Lytechinus pictus: one gene and its partners. The protein of the gene in region 1 purifies or fractionates together with the protein of each later gene. This does not show direct contact. Links are inferred from orthologs where the notes say so. Each region holds a gene or a part of one and is shown on either strand. Other genes may lie near its edges.

Region 1 (7,725 bases):
AAAGAGTCGCCTTGAAATGAAGAAAAATTATGTCACATTAATTCGTTAGTTTGTTTCCTATTTTTTTCTCACTTTTTTCTTCTTCCTCATCTATGATCAAAGGTGAATACCTTTTTTTGATATCTGTTCTAAAAGCTGGACATTTTAAATATTTTGTTCAAGTAAATAAATCAACAGGATAGTAATCAAAATGCGATAGAGCTGCCCGAGCTGAAAATTCTGATACAAGGACTTGAAAATAAAACATTCTGAGCACTTTTTATAACCATGATGAGGAGACCTATATATATATATATATATATATATATATATGTGTGTGAAGTTATACATGTACTACAGCTTTGGCAACTCTTTTATTTAAATATTGTGTGAAAGATATATATATATATATATATATATATATATATATATATATAAAATGCTTGATTTATTTACGCCTATATATATATATATATATATATATTTATATATATATATATGTATATGAAATAAGCTAACACGAAAAAAATACGTTTTGGGGACTGTTAAATAAGAATTCATGAGTGGGATAGGTAACTATCTATTCTATTCTTGTTCGTTTTCTATTATTATTTGTGTGTTGTGTTTATTTTTCTTGAAGCACCAAAAGGTGGACATGTCCGCTAAGATATATTAACGAAGTCACCATTATTATCACAAGCTAACGGATCAATTAAAATGCGAGCGTGAAACGTGAGCTTCTTTTTTTCTTAATTCAGTCTTAACGATACTTTTTCATCATATTTTAAAGGTGAATCTCATGATTCAAAATGATAAATGCTTGTCGCACGGGCAGAAATAGCGGGACCAATAGTTATTTTCAATATTCCGAACTGCATTCTGGACGTTGTATAAGCGCCTTTGTATAACAATTAAAAGGGTAGGTCTATTTACCTTACAAATTATGCGAGCGCTGAACTTTTGGACATTTAAACCTCAACAAATGGACATTTTTTAAATATGAACAACATCATAAATGTCGCTTACAAAAATGATGCCAGCGCGAAGCTCGCGCTTAGAGTTTTTGATATTGATGACAGGACTGTATCTAAATGAAAAATAATGCGAGGGCATTTGCGCTTAAGATTTAAATTTGGGATTTGAAAAGTCCGACAGATTACCTATACTTTTAAAAGAGGAATGACCTCCAGAATTCAAGCGCGAAGCGCCAGTAGATTTATGTTGAAGTTTAGACCTAGAACAGGGACGTTGAACCTTTATAATCATGAAAAAGATGGTATTTTTATAAATAAAACATGGGAGTCTAATTCTGTTTTAGTGTTAATATTCAGATCTTCAAACTTGACATTTTCCTATCCCCTTCATTATCCCCTCTCCTTCTCCCTTTCCCCATTTTCGTTCTCCCTTCTTTTCTTCTCTCCCTTTCCCTTCCCTTTTTCGCTTTTCCTTTCCCTTCTTTTCTTTCCTTTCTCCCTCCCCTACTCTTTTCTCGCTCTTTCCATTTTTCTTTCCCTCTCCCTTCCCCTCTTCCTTTCCTTTGTTTTCTTTCTATTTTATGGTCTCCTTTTCCCTCTCTCTCCTCTACCTTTCCCCCTCCCTTTTCCTTTCCCTTTCCCTCTCCTTTTTTGTGCAAACATTAACACGAACATCTTGCTTCCTACACACACACACAAACGCCCGCAATCTAACACACGTAATGCGAAACAATCGGGACATTATCATTTTGTTCATACATATATATGTATATTTTCTCAATGAACATTTTCATCTATTTAAAGCTTTGAAAATTATCAAACAATGATTCCACAGGCGAAATCTCAATGATCATTAGAAAGGTACTTTACCCATTTTCATTTTATGTCATTGTGATTATTCCATACTAAGGCAACATATTTTGGATATAAAAATACATGAAGGATATGTTCCTCTTCTGTTTTATACTTTAACAGAAAACATTTTGTTCAACCAAATTATGATTTGTATTTCCAAGTTCCATGTAATATTTTCATTGGAAAATCTCTTAAAGGTCAAGTGCACCCCAGAAAAAATTGTTTGAATAAATAGAGAACTATGTTGATTTTTGGTACAATTTCCTATTATGCGCCGACGACTTGAATCGAGAATGTTCGATAGGAAAATTTCGCATTTCGATTGTTGTTTGCGTAATTTCCACCGCAGTACGAAGGATGACTAAGGACGGACCGAGCGAAGTATCCTGGTTGAGATTTGGAGGTAAGCGATAAAAACACTTTAATAAATAATTTATAATTGCTTTTTCAAATAAACTTGATCATACGATCAAGATTAACATAGCGGACAAATATTGAAAGGTTTGGCGTAGTTTAGTCCCTCACATTCGTGTGATGAATGAAAACGTCAAAATGCACTATGAAATCACATGTGTTGTGCGAGGTTAGTACGGTATACTAACCTCGCATGTTGTGTGAGTGAGACCAATTAAATGATAAGTCAAGTTTCTTGCTTTTACAGATGAAATTAACTATTGTTTGGTCTAATTTCAATGCAATAAATGCTATCAATAGTATCATTATCGATTGATTTAAAACTGAAAAAATAGTCAACATCACTAACTAGACAAAAAATGTTAAACAATGAACGAGAATGATGATTGATTACTTTTTTGCAAATTTAATAATTAAATTAAGGCAGCCAAATTTTTATGATTTATTTTGGGAGAGCCATACTTTCATTCCAATAACAGATGAATGTCAGGAACTCAGATTAGCTGAATCAACAAATAACTATGATAACGAAACACATTTAAAATAGATGTGTATTTTTATTATTCTTTTTTTAACCATAGGCCCTACATGTAAATGCATGCAAATCAAGATGATTGACGCTCAACTACACTACATCGATGTAAGCAGGCGGGACTACAGTAATTATTTTCAATACAATTGTTATATTCATTCAGCATTACGCAGTATGATTTGCAAAATAAAAAGGTAAAATGTAGGACAAACCTATATGAATCCATTGTCGATCGAAAAACCGAACATTTTTGTGAAGTTTCCCAGTCATTATCGGCGAAATCCGGGTCTCCCATCTCACAGGCTGTTGTCTCTCGCAGCGGACGTCGACGGCCTGCCATACATCCCATTGACGTCATAAAAGATACGGTAATGAGGAGGTAAATGGCGAGTGCGTAAAAGCATCTTATTATTTCTTATGACATCATCTCATCTTTATGATCTGCATCATCTGGGAATCGTCTCATGAAATGACTCGTCAGATATTTTATCCGACAAAGTCTGTTTTATCTAGCAGTTAGCATAGCAACATTTAGACATCTATGTTTCTTAGCCAATCAATTTCAACATAGACGATAAATTTTGATAGTGCCTCTTCATTTTCTATTTTACACGGAGACATTACAAAATATGATAAAAGTGGTGATATGATAATATTCTTTGTAGTTGTTTATATATAACTTAGTATAGTATAATTATATGCATATATAACCCAAATAACCTGAATTACTCCTTGGGGCGGGAAATTGAATGACACACGCAGCACCGTTGGCCGGACTAATGTGGTAATTTGGCGGGAATTTGGCACTTTTCCACGCTACTTTTATGGGTTTTTTTTTCAGCCATCGTCTAAGCCTTATAAGGACTATTGTTGAGAGATAGAAGGGCGACCACCCCTTATGATTTTCCCCTTTTTCAAGTACATATTAATAAAGGAAAACTATCAGAGGGGGAGTAAAAGGAGTATAAAATTATACTGAAAGGAATGATTATGAATTTCAAAAAGTATATAGGCCTTCTAAAAAAATAGAGGTCTGGTCCACCGTATAACAATACCCTATATAATGTTATCAAGAATTATAAAAAATATGACGTCATAATTAGGTAATACCCCCAAAAAAATCATAGTAATAAATAAATAAATAATCAATTAATAAGTAAACAAATAAATAAACAAATAAATAAATAAATGAATAAATAAATAAATAAGAACATAAAATCTAGTGCAGCCAGTGAAAAATAGTGAGTCGTGCAGATCCAGTGGCGTACCGTGGGTCACGGCATTGGGGGGCACCAGCAAACATTTGAGTCACTAAATGACCGCGCGAAGCGCGCTCATTTGCCAGCTATACTGACAATGACATAATAGAGACAATTTAACGACAGTGCCATAAAACGGATATGTATCTCACTGATCAAATAATGGGAGTGCGAAGCGCGAGCTGAAAATTTTTGATATTCAGACCTAGAAAGCGACATTATAAGCAACTTCTTGTTATCATGTTACGTACCGGTCTCGCTAAATAAACAATACGAGCGCGAAGCGCAAGCCATATCGAAAACTTGTATGCAGTGTACCGGACATGTAAAAACATAGCAGACGACGTTTGACTAGTGGTGCGGAATGTTCCATTGCGGCTTTATGGGGGAAATAGCATTACAGAGGGATAAAATGTATACACAAATAATGTTTCAGCGTTGATTCGCAATATTTTGAGTCAATTTTCATGAATTATCGTTGTTTGAACATTTAAACATCATTATAAAATGAAAGAAATAAGCAAAACTTAATTTTCAGATTTAGCTATGCAGTGGTAAGCTAGGATGCACCCCTCGTATACATAATGGACCCGTCACGAGTGTAGGTTTGCTCTTCGGACATCACTATCACAAAGAAAATCTCATCTGATTTGATGATAAAAGTGCCCTATTTCCTTATTAACAAATCTCCATGGTTCTTTCATGAGTATTTGCCTTACAATGTGCCCTTTATTAAATCTGGGCGGAAATTCATGATACCACCACCCACCGATGTGACGACGGATATAATCCACCCGGGTACTATAAAAATGTCCCCCAAACCCAATATCCCAATACATATTCCTGACTATGGATGGTTTCTAGTGATTTTAATGTAATAAAGTGCCATATTTCCCACCAATTGAATGTAAAAAAAAATTATGGTCATCTGATAGAAGAAGTTGTTACCATTCATTTCAGGGGGGCGGAAATTCTATCTGAATCAACGCTTGTCCTTGATACACATTTGTTTGTGAAAAACGGGTATAATGCAAGGGAATTCTGCGTGTTATAAGGGTGCGCGCGTGCAGCGAGGACCTTCTGTCCGCTAGTTTTCCATATGGAAATTTTTGTATAAATTGACCCCAAACAGGGACATTTTAAGGGCTATATTTAGGAATCCATGAGGAGAATACAACACCATAGTCATCTAATGCGAGTGCCAAGCGCTTGCTGATTTGGTTAGAATTACATATATACACATAAAGCACTTTTTGTAGTCATTGTAATCATGATAATCATACACATCTCACTAATCAAATATTGCGAGCGCGAAGCGCGAGCTGAAAATATAGGAAATTCAGACCTGAAGAGGGGCATAATTTGCTAAGACCATACGTATTTCACTAACCAAATGATGCGAGCGCGAAGCGCGAGCTGAAATTTTTTTAATATTCAGATCAGGAAAAGGGACATTTTAAGGACTGATTTTAGGAATTCATGAAGAGCAGACATATCTCACAAATCCTTCAATGCGAACGTAAGCACGGACAGGAAATGTTTTATATCAAGACCTTAAAATGGGGCGATCACTTTCAGTAGTCATGAAAAAGAAGCATATATCACTATATAATAATAATAATAATAATAGCTCGAAGTGCGAGGAAATATATTTGGTGAATATTGATTTGATTTGACAACGTCACGTCTCTCAAATATACTTGAAAACTATAGTATTCCAAAAAAAAATTATTTGATCTATTATATCTAGTTAAACAGACAATGCGAGCACCAGGAACAATGAAGACATAGGCCCTGAGCAAATGTTTCATAAAGTTATGAAAAAAATGTTTCTTTATGTAATATACATTAACATAACATGATCATAATATAATATAACATTATAATGAACAATAATTTCTTCTTTTCCACTACGTTTCTTTTCCTTTCTCCTTTTTTCTCCTTTTCCCCGTTTTCTTTTTGGCCAGCCGATTGGGGGGGGGGCACGTGCCCCCCATGCCCCCCGTAGTTACGCCACTGTGCAGATCATTCGTTGGCAGATCATTAGGACACCCAGACTAGTCTTGCGGGGACAAAACGAATGTATTTCAATAATTGTGAAGAAAATAAATAAACGCCTGTTAATCGAAACGCCTATAAATTCTTGGGATTCCCCCCCCCCCCTCCGTCGCTCTTCCCTTATATAAGGTTGATGGCATTTAGCATACACAATGTATTCCACGATTAATTTATAAGTGCGTTGGCGAAATGACCCCCCCCAAAAAAAAAAAAAAAAAAAAAAAATATATATATATATATATATATATATATACATATATATATATATATATATATATCGAGTGAACACTATGGTGTCGGTGATTAAAAAAAAAGTAACAGTCCCGAGCGAACGAAGCGAGTGTGTCCATAAACTTGATTTCTTTACGATGATTTTTTTTCTTTGGATTGATTATGACGTTCTGAAAATGATATCACATCTTACCGTTTTCAATTTTCTCCCCCCCCCCCTCCTCCTTCTCCCCCTCCTCCTCCTCCCCCTCATTCTTCTTCTTCTTTTTCTTCTCCTTTTTCTCCTTCTTCTTCTTCTTCCTCTTCTTCTTCCTCTTCTTCTTCTTTGTTTTTCTTCTTCCTCCTCCTCCTCTTCTTCTTCTTTGTTTTTTTTTCTTCTTCTTCCTCCTCCTCCTCTTCTTCTTCTTCTTCTTCTTCTTCTTCTTCCTCCTCCTCTTCTTCTTCTTCTTCTTCCTCTTCTTCTTCTTTGTTTTTCTTCTTCTTCCTCCTCCTCCTCCTCTTCTTCTTCTTCCTCCTCTTCTTCTTCTTCTCCTTCTTCCTCTTCCTCTTCTTCTTCTTCTTCTTCTCCTTCTTCCCCTTCTTCTTCTTCTTCTAGCTTTTCTTCTCCTTCTTAGCCCGGCTTGATGTTGGATGAAATGAAATACAATAAAATTTTGGCAAATTACCTTGTGCCTTGGAGGTGGCTGGTACAGCTAGGATCATATACACGACGTATATCACAATTAAGATAAACTGACATTTCCTTTCCTTGTCTTTCTTTGTCTCTTTCTTTGTCGTAAATTTTTTTTGGGGGTGACCGTTCATACCCCAAGCTCCCCCCCCCCCTCCATTTGCACGCCAGTGTTTATGACGTCACAGAACAAAGTAGACCGCTAAAACAAATCAACGCAGAAATGGCATGAATATAATAAATTACATGATACGGACGGGTTGCCGCGGGCATGATATTTTGATGTAGCCGGCAAGGCAACCAAAAGATGGCGGCATATTTTTTTTTCTCAATTGATACAGGCTAAGAAATTTTTGAACCCTGAATGAAAAACTTGTACCAACCTTTGGGGTATAATCTTGCACCTTAAGTGCCCCTAAGTGCCATTGCAAAATGCACCTTTTTATCATTATTTGTACAAAGAAATTCTTGTTTGCACCCTGATAGGTGCAAATTTGAACCGTTTAAAGTGCATAATACTTTACATTTAAAAAGTTGTAATTTGCTCCTGTATACATATGTTTCATTTCTGCTCCCTACAGGGTGCTAAATATAGCTCACTGCACCCTTAATGTAGAATTAGAGGCAATTTGCGAATTTGCGGTATATAAAATTGTTATTATTTATTACTTAAATGAGCATAATTGCACTTGGGATGCTGCTGTTGTATCAACTCCTATAGGGTTCAAATTAAAATCCATATTTCTTAGTGTG
Region 2 (7,679 bases), on another chromosome or scaffold:
GACACTTTACTTACTTTGCTGGTTTTAAATCCCTGTGTATTAACTTCTTTGGCGTCATACAGTGAAGGTAGTCGACCCCCTTGGCACACTGCAAGGCCCAGCTCATGGCGTGGGCAGCCTTGTAGATGGGCTGCGGCTGGCTGCTGTGAAGGACATTGTACAGCGACCCGCCCTCGGCATACTCCATCACCAGGCAGACGGGGCGGGTGGTGCACGCCCCGTAGAGCTTGACGATGTTTGGATGGTCCACTCGGGAAAGCTGCCTGACCTGAAATTTAGATTTTTTTTCAGTGAGATGTGCATCATCATTATTGCCATTATTCGGCATCAACATTATAAATATTGTCTTCTTCATCCTAAAATCGTATGTTCTCAACTTTTTTTTTTGCATCAGCAGCAGCATTATCATCATCATCAACATCACCGTTATCATCACCACCATCACAACCATCATCATCATCCTTATCACCATCATCAGCATCATCATCATCATCATAACCATTAGTCAATTACCATTTTCATCATCATCATTACCATCATCATCACCATCATCATCACCATTATCATCATCATCACCACCACCATCATAAAAAACAGTGGCATATTGAGCCAAATATTTTAAGGTGGCAGAAAATTTGTTTAATAAGTTGCAAGTGAGGAACAAAAAAAATTACAGCATTTTTAATACGAGTAGCTAATTTTGTTAGACTTTGACAATATATTTCACCTATTTCCTGTCCTTTTTTCCCTAGTTTATATCTTGGTCATGGAACTGTTTTGGGGGCCTTCAAAAAGTAAAAAGATATACGACTTACCTCGACTCTGAAGGCTTTGATCTCCTCTTCTGATTCGATCATCTTGACAGCCACATTCATAGATCGCCATTTTGCTTTACTTACTACTCCAAACGCTCCTTTGCCTACGACCTACATGTACAAAACAAAGTCCAATTATATATAATGAATGCTCGACCTAACAAATTTCATTTAGAGACAGTGATATGGAAATGAGAAAGACAATGATGTTCCCACTCACTATTTCTTTTGTATTTTTTATTGTCTGAATTATTCCATATTTCATTTTTTACAGGTTCGACAATAAGTACCAACTTCACTGACCCATAAAACCTTAAAACAATGGTAAATTCACATGTTCAAGGATGAATAAAACTTTCTTTCACAGGACAATGGGGAGAAAATTAGAATAGGGGTCTAGAAAAATATACCATATTTCATTATAATAAAATACAAAAGAAATAGCGAGTGGATGATGACATCAGTCTCCTCATTTGCATACCGTCCAGGATGTGCCTATAATAAACTGTTTTGTGAAATTAAAGTGATCATTTCACTTTGTTCCGATTTGAAAAATTATCCTTTTGGTTCCTGAAAATGGGCTAGACATGAGGCTTATAGTGTAAAAATACTAACCCAAAAGTTTCAAAGTATTATATTTACAGGATCAATTTTAAAACCTTGGAGATGTAAACCAAAGTTTGAAATAATTGGGAGTTGGTTTCAATGACTATGTGTATACAGGGAATCTGTGCACAACACATTAATTCTAGATGAACACAGCATGACCTACATACAGTGTGTACAAGGTATACACTGAATGTACAGTGCAGCTAATAGTGTGTGTATAGGAGATACACACAACAGAAGGCAGTCAAAATAGCCAACGGACTTTTTGAATTGGAGAAAACTGGTCATAAGCTGAACCCGTCTACTAGACGGTTCTCAAAATCAGGCTAATAAATTGCTACTTGTATCTAAATTAGAGTTTTTCATCCTATATTGTGGTCTGTTTCAGGGTTTTTGAGGACAAATAATGGCACTCATACGCACGTTTCAACTCAGTTTGAGAATTTTTTAAATCAGCTGCTCACAAAGTTAAACGATCCCTTTAAGCGAAACTTTAAAATGTCATAACTTTCTTATTTTACATCCAATTTTGATGAAATTCTCAGTGTTATGTCTTATGCTTGCACTTGTTCATTATTTAAGTTGTATGTTTGAATTTTCTCTTTTAATTTTATCAAAATAATCTGTTGGGGTGGACTTGTCTTATATAACAATACAAACTGTTACCCCCAACATTTCTTGAACCCATCCAGGACCATTATTTAACTTTAATAGCTGGGAGCTCAGCATTAAAAAACTTTGAGTAATAGCCTAATAGGCAATATCTATTCCCTGCTTCTGCATCATATAGTGAGTGATTGTATTACCGACCGGCCTTGTATTACCGAACGCGCGCATCATATGCGTCAGAAAATAATCAAATACGCTCAAACCTTTACAACATCCTTCAAAAGGGAACTTGAATAGAAAAATGATGGAAAATGATCAAAAACACAATTTCGAAGTCTTTATATCCTCAAAACAATAATATATGGTCAAAATAGCTCATCAGTGACTTTGTTGTTTTCCCAACTTTTCCCATAGAAAACACACGTTCGGTAATACGATACCTTTTTCAAGTGACCAAAATATTTCACTTGCGGAGCCGGAGAGAGGTCCGATTGGAAGCTGATGTCGTAAAAATGAAAAACAATTTCGGCAAAATTTCTGCATATTTATATCTTGTAGGTATTTGTGTATTTATGGTGAAAGTTTGGTGAATTTTATTGGAATAATGTGTTTGATATGATCAAATTCATGAAGTGTTCGGTAATACGATCCACTACCATACATGTACACCGCACAAATACACAACACAGCACAAATAAAAACGTACCGGACTACATGTAAACTTTACAATGCACTCCACTGCAATGCAGTCTGTCTGGTGTCCCCACCCAACACACAAAAAAAACAATTAATGCAAAGGTCTTACCCTCTCAAATTCTAAATCGTTGAAATCAACTTCCTCCTTGAAGCTCATCTGGGATTCCAGGCGCGCCATTTTTGTTAAATGCTACTTTATTCTGGAGAAATAAAAGGTTTCATCCCGATACGACATCTGTTTCGCCGCACCGAGATAATTCACAAAAGGGAATTCCCCATTTGAAGGGCGCTGGTGCGCTGGCGATCAATCGACAATCAATGTCAATGATTTACAATAATGTTACGGATCAGTTTGATCTAAAATACAACTTAAAAAGCCAAAAATATTTGCAACATTTTACCTTCCTTTGAGACCCCCCCCCCCCAAATAAAAAAAAATGAATTGAAAATGCATCACAAAACTCTATTCTATTGATTTCTTTTTAATTACGAACTACAAATTTGTTTGAATTTTTTTTCACTCAGACCCCCCGCCCCTTCCTCCCCGGCTTCCTCCAAAGTCCAAACAAACACCAAATATTCTCGTTAACACAACGCAAGACAAAAAAGACCAATCTTCTCGGGCTTCAGTGGAACAAAACACGAAACAATCAAACAAATAACTAGACAAAAAAATGCAATCTGTCAAATTATTTTCGGTGCAAAATACGGATCTCTGAGTTCTCTCTCTTTAAATAGTGCGTAATAATAACATTAAAAAAGTAGTTTCAGTAGTTTCAGTAGAGAAATCTTATCCATACAGCCCTAACCTCGAATCTCCAACGTACGTTTCTACCAATCAGCAGGCTCCTCCTCCTCTCTCCAGCCCACCCCCCCCCCCCCCTCGGCCCCTCTCCCACTCCTCTTTTTTTCCTCTTCAGTTCTCCCCCTCCCACCTTCTCTTCGATCTTCGCTTTCCATGATTCGGGCTTCCTGTTTTGTTTGTATTTGATTTATTTATTTATTTTGTTTATTTTTATTTATTCATTTATTCATTTATTCATTTATTCATTTATTCATTTATTCATTTATTCATTTATTTATCTATTTATCTATTTTTTTTTTTTTCTTTCTTTTTTGTGGGGGGTCTTGTCCCGGTTATGTACGTGATTTTTTTTTTTTTTTTCATTTTTCATACACTTTCCCAAAAGGGGTATGATTGTTTAAAATTTCAATGGTGTATAGGCATAAATAAAGAGTTTGACCCGAGTCGTATTATTGAAACTTATCAATTTGCAACACTGAATAAAATTTATATCTCGATGTCGAGTTATTTATTGCATAAACAAGCTGTTCTTTCGAAAGCATTCCTTTTTGTGTGTAATTTCTGTATTATATTTTTAGACGATCTAGGGGATCTTCAAACTTCCACCTACCCAAAATATCACCTCTTTAGCAAAGAATTGTATGTTTTACAAAGGACCAATATTATCTGGAACAAAATACCACTTTATGTTAAATCTATCATTAAATGTTTTTAAAAGGAGATCAAAACCCAACTTCTCAGTAAATATTCTAATAATGTTTGACCAAATTTTCTTTTCTCTTTCGCCTTTCGTTTTTTGGAGTAATTATCTTTGTGTCATTGTGTTAAAATGTGTATTTCCCCCTTTTATGCTCAATCTGGTATTCAGTATTCATGACATCATGATTATACTCCACAATATCATATATTCAGTTTCCAGTTTTTGTGAAGGTGGCAGCACCAATAATTGCATTTGTAATTGCCTCCGCACTCATTCATAAATTATGAATAGGGCCTACTTTTTTTTCAATTGTTTTCCAGATTTTATAATTGCATTATCATCACGATTATACGATTTTTCCATGTAAAGTATGTTAAAGGTCAAGTCCACCCCAGAAAAATGTTGATTTGAAATAATAGAGAAAAATCAAACAAGCATAATATTGAAAATTTCATCAAAATTGGATGAAAAATAAGAAAGTTATGACATTTTAAATTTTCGTTTATTTTCCACAAAACAGTTAACAGGACAACAATATGATTGCATAAAATGCCATAAAAACAAATTGCATCATGCATGGTCCGGTCCGGTGTGACCTACTTTCACCATTATTATGCAGGTACAGGTGCGCCTTCACCATTCAGTTGGTTATACCGCGCCCTGATTGGATAAAAGTTTTATTCCGCGCAGGTGCCATTGTGATGTCACACTTAACGAACTTTTAGATTGTGACGTCACAATGGCACCGACGAGGAGTAAAAACTTTTATCCAATCAGAGCGCGGTAACCAATGGGACGGTGACGACGCACCTGTTTGTTATAGGCCTACTTTAAAACCTTGTAATGCGGATATGTTTCATTTTCATGGCTGCGTTTGCAAAGAAATAAAAATTATCACAGAGGCTGCTTCAATTCCTTATTCCGATCTGAAAGAGAAATACAATCACATCACATTAGGATAGTACGGATGAATAGGATTTCTCCATGGCCCTGGGAAGCGGGGGTGCTGATTTCTGCACCCGGACCGCGATTTTCCTTGGGGGTGCTGCGTATATTACAGGCGCTAGGCAGCACCCCTTGGAGTTCTGGTAGGTGTTAAAAAATTGACAAATGTAACCAAAATTACTTATATTTTGTAGTGGAACCTTTTTTCTTTTATCTTCTTTTTTTCTTGTCAAACTTCTCGGGATCAAAATGGCCTTCAATTTGTTGTGAACCCCTCCCTCTTTTATTTTTGCTTGTCAAATTTACATCAGCGACCCTACTACAAAATCGTGCCCAGGGCCCTACACTGTAAAAAAAAAACATTGAATCAGTAGTTAACACTTAATGTATTTAAGTAGAATTTACAATTTGTAATTATTTTTCGTTGTTTTTAAGTAGTTTCAACTTGTCTTTTAATTTACTTGATTTACTTGATTTATTTGGGTTCAATATACATTTAAGAAAATTCGCGTATTGATAGCTTGCTTTGATTGAGTAAATCTAACTCAATTAGGCAAAGATGATTATTACTTATAAAATAATGTTGAATGTACTTATATTTTCAATTAACGCCATATTTAAATAATGCATGAATATTCATTAGAGCAAGTAAATGTTTTTTTTTTAATAACTGTCATTTCTATTTGTGTTTGAAATTGTTTTGGATAAGGGTGTGCTAACTATTGTATTCTTTTGTTGAATCAAAGAAAAGGCAACATTAAATAGTCATTTAGCAGAAAATTATTCTCACTGTTTTATTTGTAAGAATGAAACGATCGCGTATAAATATCAATGTCAGTACCTATACATGTACAGGTAAGTGACAATTCACAAAGTTTAATATTTGGATAAAACATGTATAAAATGAAAATGATGCCACCAAAAGTGGGACGATGGGGGAGCGGACTTTCGAATCACGAAAGTCCATCCACTCCCCCATTTGATATTTTCAAATATTTTAGTGATTGTTTTACTTAATTGAATTAAGTTATTGTAACTTAATTTTCTTGAGTAAAATGGAAGCAAAGAAAATAAGTAAATTTTACTTAAAACTGCCAAAGTCATAAATACTTGAAAAAATTAAGGCAATTTTTTGCCACAATTTTATTAAGTAATTTCTACTAATTTTTTTTTACAGTGTAGATTTCTCCTTTAACGTTTGATATCGATGTTGATTGCTACTATACTCTAAAATCAATTAAGGATTTTAAATAAATCCAGATCGGCTGTGAATAGTGACCAGCCGAATATTAGATTTAGTTTCAAACCTTGTACACTGAAATATAAATCTAAAATATTTGAATTTAAATCCTTTGAGATTAGTAAGTTAATCCTAAAGATTCAAAATAAATCCAACATTCGGCTGGTCACTATCCACAGCCGATCTGGATTTATTTTAAATCCTTGATTTTTAGAATGTATCCTTCTATGGCTAATTTAAACTTGACTGTGCATCTTGAATTAGTGGTATTTAAATAACCCATTCCATCAAATTCGTCAATCCGATTTTTTAAACATTTAAAAATCACTTTGCCTCTACAATTTCTCGAGGTAGATTGCTCCAATCTCTTACAACTCATGGAGTAAAACATTACTCCTAACATCCAGTCTTGATCTTTTTCATGAAGAGTTTTGATTGTGTCCTCTGGTTACTCTGCACTGTACACAGTAAAAACGCTGTTTAAGATTTTATGCAACGCTGTTTACTATATGAACCTTATATACAGTATTTGTTTAACCGTTTAAACAATCATGTTTAATTTATTGAAAATAAGATATTGAAAATTAAACTTTGTTGCTTAAAATTTAAACAGTTGTTTAAACTGTTTAAACAATTACTGTAAGGTTCATATAGTAAACAGCGTTGTATAATCTTTTTTTTACTGTGTAAAAAAATATTTCCGGCAGAATTTCAAGTCGACCCGTCAGAATTTTGAAGACTGCAGTCATATCACCTCTTTTGTAGATTGAGTGCTTTCAAACGTTCTTCATAATTTAGCTCTCGATCGTAGAACTCAGTGAAGCTTTTTGTTGCTCTTCGTGTTGCACCCCTGGTTGCACCTTTTCTACTTTATCTTAGTCCAATTTATGAATGCCACAGTTCAATGTTATCATATTCAAGATGAGGTCGTACAAGTATGGTGGACAAAATGGGAAGCATATCCTTTGATATTTTCCGAAATGTTCTCTTTATCATTCCTTCAATTTCATTTGCTTGAATCTGGATTTGCCACATTCTGGTGGAAATCTATTTCCTTATCAATAATTACTCCGAAGGTCTTTGGCCTGTCCGACTCCATTCATTGTGTGGTTCTTCTTGAAGTTCTTTCCCATATATATGAACCACCTTACATTTAAATTTCCAACATTTCCATCTTTTGGACCACTTAGTTGATTTGGATAGAAATACTGGTATCAAAGATTTGTGTATCATCTGCAAATATGTATACCTGATACTCAA
Region 3 (8,018 bases), on another chromosome or scaffold:
AAAGTTGGGCACAAACTAGCTTCAAATTGATGGGAAAAATATCAAACGCAATTTTCTCTGTTTTGTCATGTAAAACATTATATGGTGATATAACGATCTTGAAAAGAGTTTCTGCATGTTGACAATGTTCGAGAATCAATCCTGACGTGATAATTATTTGTTTTAGACAAGTGCACTCACTAAAGTCGATCGTCATGTGATGTCCGTCATTGAAAATTGAAACGAAATACAAACGGTTCACATCAAGCTCTAAATTCATATTAATGATTATCATATGAAAATTATTGTTAAATATTACGATTAAATAATGTTCTATGGTCATGATATTAATATTGTTCATGAAAGCAAGATTTATTTTACGTTGATCGAGTCAATTTTCCGGCCATTTTCTGGTTTGATTAAAGCACAGTACTGCGCATGCACGATCGATGGCGATGACTTCCATTCATGAATTCATCGTGCATAAATTATCTCGGCACGAGCAGACGAGTGAGACTGTAATGTAATCATAATTACATAATTGGTTTCATTTTGGGGGCAATATAAATCAAGTAAGTAGTAGTCAAGTTGGACATTACTGTTTATTTTGATGATTGATTGTGTGAACCAAAGAATCGACCGACGTATTTTTTTTTTTCTCGATGCACCGATTTTGCAAAATCTGCACCGGCGTTCGATGACATCGATCGAACACCGATTTTAAAATCGATTCGACTCAGGCTTAGTGCGGACATTTTCAAAATCCACAAACATTGGGAAAAACATGAAAAATCCACTTTTTTGGACCCCGTAATTCTTAACTGCAATGTTAAAATATAGCAAGTGTGATATTTATGACGCAGGATATGGTGATTTAGGTAAGAAATTTTCACTTTTGTTCAAAATTTTGTCCATTTCAATGAACCATTTTGTAGTGTGGGAGTGAGCTAGTAAATGTGTAGTGTACATGTCTAGAGTGTGTTGGTGATTTCAGTAGTACTGGTATATTGCCGAGTCTGCTTAGCGTGCTGCACACCAACCCCAGCCGCGCACCGACGCAGTTACTCTAGAGGACTAACATTACAATCAAATCAATCATGCAACTGAGTAATAAAATTACAGTCCGACCTCTCTTAACTGGCCTACCCTTATCCGGATCTTTCTATTATCTGGACGCACACGTTTTGCAGAGATTTTTTTAAATCTAGTACCGTACATGGGGAGATGAGATTTCAATCTAAAATCAAAATTCCTTCGCAAACTCTCTTTGATTACATTTATTTTCCAATATAGTCTACCTACAACCACATTATTTTTATGGAGACCAAATTAACTTAGACAGGATAATTTTCCAGTAAATCAGGGAACAGCGAAATTGTTTTTTTGGGGGAAAAAAAAACATAAACACATCTATTGCTCAGGCTTCATTTTGCATTACGGAGAGCGCCATCTACATGTATGTTTGAGCCTACAGTCAGTATAACTTAACAATGGCTGACTTTGCAAAGCTGCGATGATCCAATTTTCAACTTAGTTTCATCTAGACCAAAAGCTTCGGTCTCTGTTATGTTGGTTGTTACGCTGAACTCCGTTGGCTCCACTCACCAAATACAGAGACCGAAGTTCTAGCTCGATCTATACAGGGGACTCAATGGCCATATGTTTATGTATTATTAAGTTTGGATAAAACAGGGAAGTGAAGTTGCGCGACAGCCGAAGTAAATCACTGTTTTTTTCCCCTTATTATTTTTTCTCCGATTTGGAGCGTTTCAGGCCAAAACGGAATAATCTTTATTTTGGTACAATTCTTTTTATATATTTCTATGAAATAAAGACAAAAATCGATGAGCCCCGTCGGGGGAATTTGCATTGTTAACCCCCTAATGTTGGCTGCACGATAGCGAGCCGTCTGTGTACGAGGAGAAATTTTAAAAAAAAAATTTAATGTTAAAAAAACTCCTCGAAGCAGACGGCTGCCAGCTGTCTAAGTTTCATCAAGTTGTTTTCTTTCTTTTGATTGAGGAATGCTTGATGTATTCCTCAATCATTTCATCAGCAGGAAAATTATGAGTTTTGGCAACCAATCGATTTCATTTCCGTTAAAAAAAACGCCTGTATTTGCACTGAGAGCATCGAGCAGTCAGTGAATACTGTCTGTGTACGCTCACTACAGTAGATTACGTGTAGGCCGTAGCTACCATTGGGGAGTTAGCTGCGTGTATTATCATTTATTGGGTCTCCCAGATCATGCAGATCCGGATGGTGCTGGTCCCAAAATGTCCGGATTAAAGAGAGGTCGGACTGTATCTCATAATTCATTAATTGTAAACTAAAATAAAAATAAAGCAATGAAGGCGGTCGGTCAGGCAGTGCCATATGATCATATGAAGTTGGTTCTCAATTTATCTCAATAATTCTTATCTTAATTTATAACAAAAATAGAAAAACGCAACAGGGGAAAAAATGTTTTGTTATAAAAAAAAACACGGCGTAGTATTATAATCTAGCCGAAGCACAGTCGCTAGTCGCGCCGCATCGCAGGGCTTGCATATCGGATGCAGCGCTGAGCTAGCTGAGTGCATTGCATCGACACACTGCACTGCCACCAGATTGTGGAGTGCAATGACAGTGTATTGTTGATGTCTTTTCATCTTCTCATTGCATAAGCCATAAACGCTCTAAAAATCAAAAAGTGATGATCAAGCTTGAGGAATTGATCTTACCTGGCCTCTGCCGAGGCATCTTAGGTGATTCTAAATTAAAATCAATAGATGGCCTCTCTTTTCTCGCTCTGTTTTCATCTTGAATGCTAATTTGGAGTTGATTCAATTTTTGTCGTAGGTCCAAGGAAGAAGACATCTTGGAAATTATGACGCATGCGCACAATAATTTGGTATCTCGGCGATCTATTTATATTTTTCTATTGATCTCTTTGTTGACATTCTTTTGAGAATAATGATTTGTTAACTATAGGCTCCATAGTTCGACTCAGTGTGAAAAGTGATTAAGCTAATAAATTTGTTTTCAAAATCCATAGAAGAAAAACACAATATTATCACACTTGTTTGTCAACCTCACAATGGTAGCCCAATGTGATAGATGTTTTTCATATTCACATTGAAAATTTAGGTATAAAATAAAAACTATTTTTCACAATAAGGGCCGCTCCATTTTCGCCCCTTTCCTTTCTTCTGCATCATTTTTCTAGGCCTCGTTTATGGAATATGCGTTCTATCCAATGTCTTTTGGGGCAATTGGAGGAGGGGTGGTTAAAAAAAATAGTATAACTCTATACGTCATGCTTCAACGATCAAATTTAGAATCAATATCAATATCCCATCTTTTTATTGTTTATTTATTTCATGTACCGTAGACTCATATAGGTGGGTTAAAGTAAACTTCCACCCCTATGACTAGACTTAAAACAAAATTTAATAAAAGGGCAATTTAAGGAGCTTTTCAAATAAAAATGACTATTTGTTTAGAATCAGGGGCGGCGATCCTGTGGGGCCGGGGCACAGTGCCCCCCCCCCCACTTTTTCATGCACTGAAAAGTGCCCTTGTTACGCAAGAAAAGTGCCCCTCACGATCGTGTACTGTGCCCCTTTCACCTGAGGAGCACCCGTTTTAGGTGTTAACACGTGCCCTTTCTCGTATAAATAAGTGCCAATTTTTTTTTTTTAATGCCCCCTCTCCAACGTGCATGTCATGTGCCCCTTTCACCTGAGAAGCTTTTATGTGCCCCCTTGGCTTCTTGTACGTGCCCTTTCTCGAATCAGTGCCCCTTTAAAAGTGCCCCTCATGAATGTGTTCTGTGCCCCTTTCATACTTGAGAAGGACCCGTCTTATGCCGTTTGCAAGTGCCCATTTGCCTTCTTATACAGTAGTTGCCCTCATTTCTCGTATCACCTGAGAAGGACCAAATTTATGTGTTAAAGTGATGCTCCAGGCTGAAAATATATATCTCAAGAAATAGAGTAAAACTCACAGAGCAAAATGCTGAAAATTTGATCAAAATCGGATAAGAAATAACAAAGTCATAAAATTTTTAAAGATTTGCACTATTCCGCGGTGAAACAGGCAAGTCATTAGGTGGGCTAATGATGTAATATCCCCACTAGTTCTTTTGTATTTTATTACATGAAAAAAGGGTTTATTCAAAAATGTTATACCAAGAACTATAAAACAATTGGATTGACAACTAATTAAGTGCATTAGTTATTTCTCGCCGCAACTTATTTCTTAATGGAGACACATCATTTACACATTTATAAAATAATGAAACAATTATGATTTCATGTAAAAACATAAGAAAAAGAAAAGTGGGGATGTGACATCACGTACATTTTACATAAATCATGTTGAATCTAAGTTGTCTTCTTCCTAAATCCGCGCTTCGAAATATGAAGAAATAACCATTGAGTAATTAACTTTTTCTTTCCCTTCGTTAAAAAGGGATATAATCAGCTTTTGACGGTCTGAACCTTGACGATTTTGTTATGCTCTCAATTTTCTATTTTTAAAAACCGATATGAAATATGCGAAAGCTTCCGCACTTCACGAGGAAGGGGAAATTGGGAGAACGCTCCGGGCGCTCGGTTAGCATTATACTTGGTTGTTGAAAATGCCCAATTGCGATTCGCATACTCATCCACCCCTTTCATGCCTTCCCCAATTTTATCGATAGGCCTATGTAATTTCACAAAAAAAAATCAAAGTGATACCCAATTATGGTGCTCGGTTAAATGCGATAAACTAATCATCAAAAAGAATGAAAAAAGAGTAATCCTTGCAGTTTGCACACAATATACTTTCCATCGAACTATTATATGCCTTTTAGGTAAATGGCGAAAAAATGTATTTATAAACATAATTTTGGAAGAAATTTATTACACCCAGGAAATTCGAAGATAAGTTATAAAATGTTTGTGCTATCATGACGAATTAGATATCACATAAATGAGTACGTCCTGCCCCTTCATCACATTGCTTTGTCATCAGGAGCTGAAAAATATTTAGGTATCATTTTTTCACAAAAAAATCTTCATATTTTAGACAAATTAAAAATGAAAACTTGACAAAAACATTTCATACTGTGCTTGTTACTTTTCAACACAAACATTTCAGATCGCATTTTTTTTGTTCAGTGGTGACATATCATGATAGAAAATGCAATATAATTCATAGATTTTACATTTATATATTTCTATGAAACGATGTTTGAAAATATAATAACAAACAATAGAATACATTTAGCACGAATATTACTTCTTGTCTTCAAAGAAAATTTCACCTGAAAGATGCTTTTATCCCAGAGCTTATAATACGCGCTTTCATTATTTTAAATTAGTCATGGTAGTATTTATATTTCTGAAGATATAGTAAATTTGGGATGTTTGACAAGCGAACAAATTTCACTGAATTCCATGGGTGTATTTACACTTTTGGCCTCATCTGTATATATATATCACCATAAATACATCTCCCACCTGCTCAATAATTATGTATTGCTTTTATCTGCACTTGAAATTAATCAATTACTATCGGGCGATTATAACAACAATAACATTAAGTTGCCTCCCAATAAATGGACTCCTATACTAGTATTTTAAGAAGTTTACAGGCACACGAACACACGCACAAATTACCCCCACTAACAAACATATATCAGGTAAATAAGATTTATATCGTTTTATGTTAGCAAATCCGCTAAAAGGATAAGAGCAAAAGGTTACTAGTATAATAGATTACCGAGGAAAAAACGAGGATTATTTTTTCGTAAGAACATATCTTGCACCTCAAGCAAATTCATTTATCTCATATTGATGATTATATTAGAACATAAAAAAAAGCGTCACCAGAACATTGAGCCATGACCTGTAAGCGCAGTGCGTACGCACATCATCAGCTTGATAATAATACTTTGCTTGATGTGAGGCGAAGTAAAACTTAATAATCAAAGACAGGATTTGACTGATGTGTTATCTCTTTAATTAAAATAGAGGCCAACTTACGAAGTGGTTGGAGTCCCCGCTGGCCATATCTTGGAGCAGCCCGGCAAAACGACACATAAAATCTCTGCTCTCGACGATTCATGACTGTCTCGTCTTAGTTACAGGTCTCCATGTACGTGTTATATGGACTTGAACGAGAACATTTGTGGCATTATACGATCGACACAGAATTTCGTAGCCAGGAACGGGGCAAGTTCACTATAATTAGCAAGCAAGTCGGGTCGGATACAAACTTTTAAGGCGTTGAGCCAGCCAGAGTCGTACGCCTGCCATTACCAAAAGTTTTCCTTAAAGCTGCACTCCGAGATTCATATTGTTTCTATAGAGTTTATAAATCGGTTTCGAATGAGTGCACAAAGAATTAAAGTTACATTGACTTTTTAAAGAAATAAATTCATGCCCTGTGTAACCATCACCGACATAGGGTCTAGTGTCCGCAACAGTTTTGTTTTACTTTGGGTAACTATCAGTTTTTACCAATCTTTGGATTGTATTTTCCAACTAATATTTTGCATCTGGCCAATTTAAAGTAAGTTTGTCTTCCATTTCCCCTATACCCCTACCTTTTCATTGATAAAGAATAGAATACGGTGAATACGGCATAATATTCCACAAGCAAATTTATGGTAAAAGAAAGAAAGTCTATTTTGCTTGCTCGCTTTGCTCCCTCACATTTATTCTGATATCGAGCACTTTCAGTAGACTCAGCCCCTCAATATGGTGTTGCTCATTACATTGCACTAAGGACAGCTCTATGCAAAACACCCCTCCCCACCCCCCCCCCCCTCCCCCCAATCAGGGAGAGTCACCTATCATCGTCTTTGTCTTTGCATCATTCCCATCCCGCCCTCATGAATATATGTATAGAAAGACCTCTATGAAGAAACAATTAAACCGATTCTTTAAACAAATCATTTTTATAATTCATTTTACATGTATATACACATAAACAGATGTGATGATAGTATCATTAGTTTCGTAGCAGTTTATTGAATGAACGTCTTGACATATTTCTGTACTATAATCTGATTCTGTTAGTAATAACATTTCTACGATTTGCATGAAAGTTGTCAGCACTCAACACTGACAGGTTTCTCAGACAGTTGCCATAGTAACATTCTGACACCTGTGCTTCTCAGCCAATCAATGCAATGGAATTTTGTCTGATTGGATGGTTGTCTGATCTGAAAACTTGTCAGACAATAAAATAATGTCGATGAATTGCCCCTGATAAAACCGCCCCGGATCTCCGTGGTGGATCTATTTGGATGATACAGCTTTCTTTAAGGTGCATACCATTATTCTACACCCCTTTGCCTTTCCTTTCATTTTCACTCTCCATAAATTAAAGCCTAACTCTCACGCCTCTTCTCAATATTTACCCCATTTATCTAAAACTTTTCTTTGTCGCGCAGTCTATTCCTTCACTTCCATTTCTCCCATTTTCTTGATAAAATCTCCCCTGTTTTTATTCTGGTAAAGGTCAATTTATTCATGATTAAATCACAGTTTTTGAGTGCTTGTCACCTCCTTTCAGCTTAAATAATTCACATGCATGGTGCTCTTATTCTTCAGCCTCGAATTTCCTGTCTATACGAGAAATAGAAAATGTCGTGTTTTTTTTTCGTCCTTGGATAGTATTCTCCCAAGTCACTTATCATTATGATAGCAGAAGACTTGATTTGAATCGTGGAGCACTAAAATGCCTAAGAATTGTGGTCTAGTTTTAATAATGTCCGGACGATCTTGCCAAATCCAAGCTAAATGATAACACTTAAAATAATATGGAAAATTACTTTATATTGAACCTTGAATATCAAAATTGTACCAAAAAATCGTAATTTAACAAATTATTATCAATTTGATGACTTATTTTGATCTTAAAGCGTGTATTCTTTGTTCACGCGGCATATACGCTAAAAAGGGTCTAGTATGATGATGATGATGATAAAATCAGTATGCTACTTCCTCTACTACTACTACTACTACTACTAAATAATAATAATAATAATAATAATAATAATA

Evidence for each region.
Region 2: the proteins of C-Jun-amino-terminal kinase-interacting protein 1-like (region 1) and mitogen-activated protein kinase kinase kinase 7-like purify together in Homo sapiens (pull-down; 3 studies listed by BioGRID and IntAct, with this or other methods). This does not show direct contact. The link is inferred for Lytechinus pictus from reciprocal best matches to the Homo sapiens genes MAPK8IP1 and MAP3K7.
Region 3: the proteins of C-Jun-amino-terminal kinase-interacting protein 1-like (region 1) and dual specificity mitogen-activated protein kinase kinase 7-like purify together in Homo sapiens (affinity purification with western blotting; 3 studies listed by BioGRID and IntAct, with this or other methods). This does not show direct contact. The link is inferred for Lytechinus pictus from reciprocal best matches to the Homo sapiens genes MAPK8IP1 and MAP2K7.

The regions. Positions count from the first base shown.
Region 1 is NC_087263.1:12,638,574-12,646,298, reverse strand, and holds the start of C-Jun-amino-terminal kinase-interacting protein 1-like, read right to left. Parts: upstream 3,107-7,725; 5' UTR 3,104-3,106; coding exon 2,967-3,103; intron 1-2,966. UniProt on the Homo sapiens protein: The JNK-interacting protein (JIP) group of scaffold proteins selectively mediates JNK signaling by aggregating specific components of the MAPK cascade to form a functional JNK signaling module. Required for JNK activation in response to excitotoxic stress.
Region 2 is NC_087248.1:22,971,946-22,979,624, forward strand, and holds the start of mitogen-activated protein kinase kinase kinase 7-like, read right to left. Parts: upstream 3,006-7,679; 5' UTR 2,908-3,005; coding exon 2,839-2,907; intron 927-2,838; coding exon 816-926; intron 269-815; coding exon 15-268; intron 1-14. UniProt on the Homo sapiens protein: Serine/threonine kinase which acts as an essential component of the MAP kinase signal transduction pathway. Plays an important role in the cascades of cellular responses evoked by changes in the environment.
Region 3 is NC_087259.1:22,221,336-22,229,353, reverse strand, and holds the start of dual specificity mitogen-activated protein kinase kinase 7-like, read right to left. Parts: upstream 3,015-8,018; 5' UTR 2,839-3,014; coding exon 2,703-2,838; intron 1-2,702. UniProt on the Homo sapiens protein: Dual specificity protein kinase which acts as an essential component of the MAP kinase signal transduction pathway. Essential component of the stress-activated protein kinase/c-Jun N-terminal kinase (SAP/JNK) signaling pathway.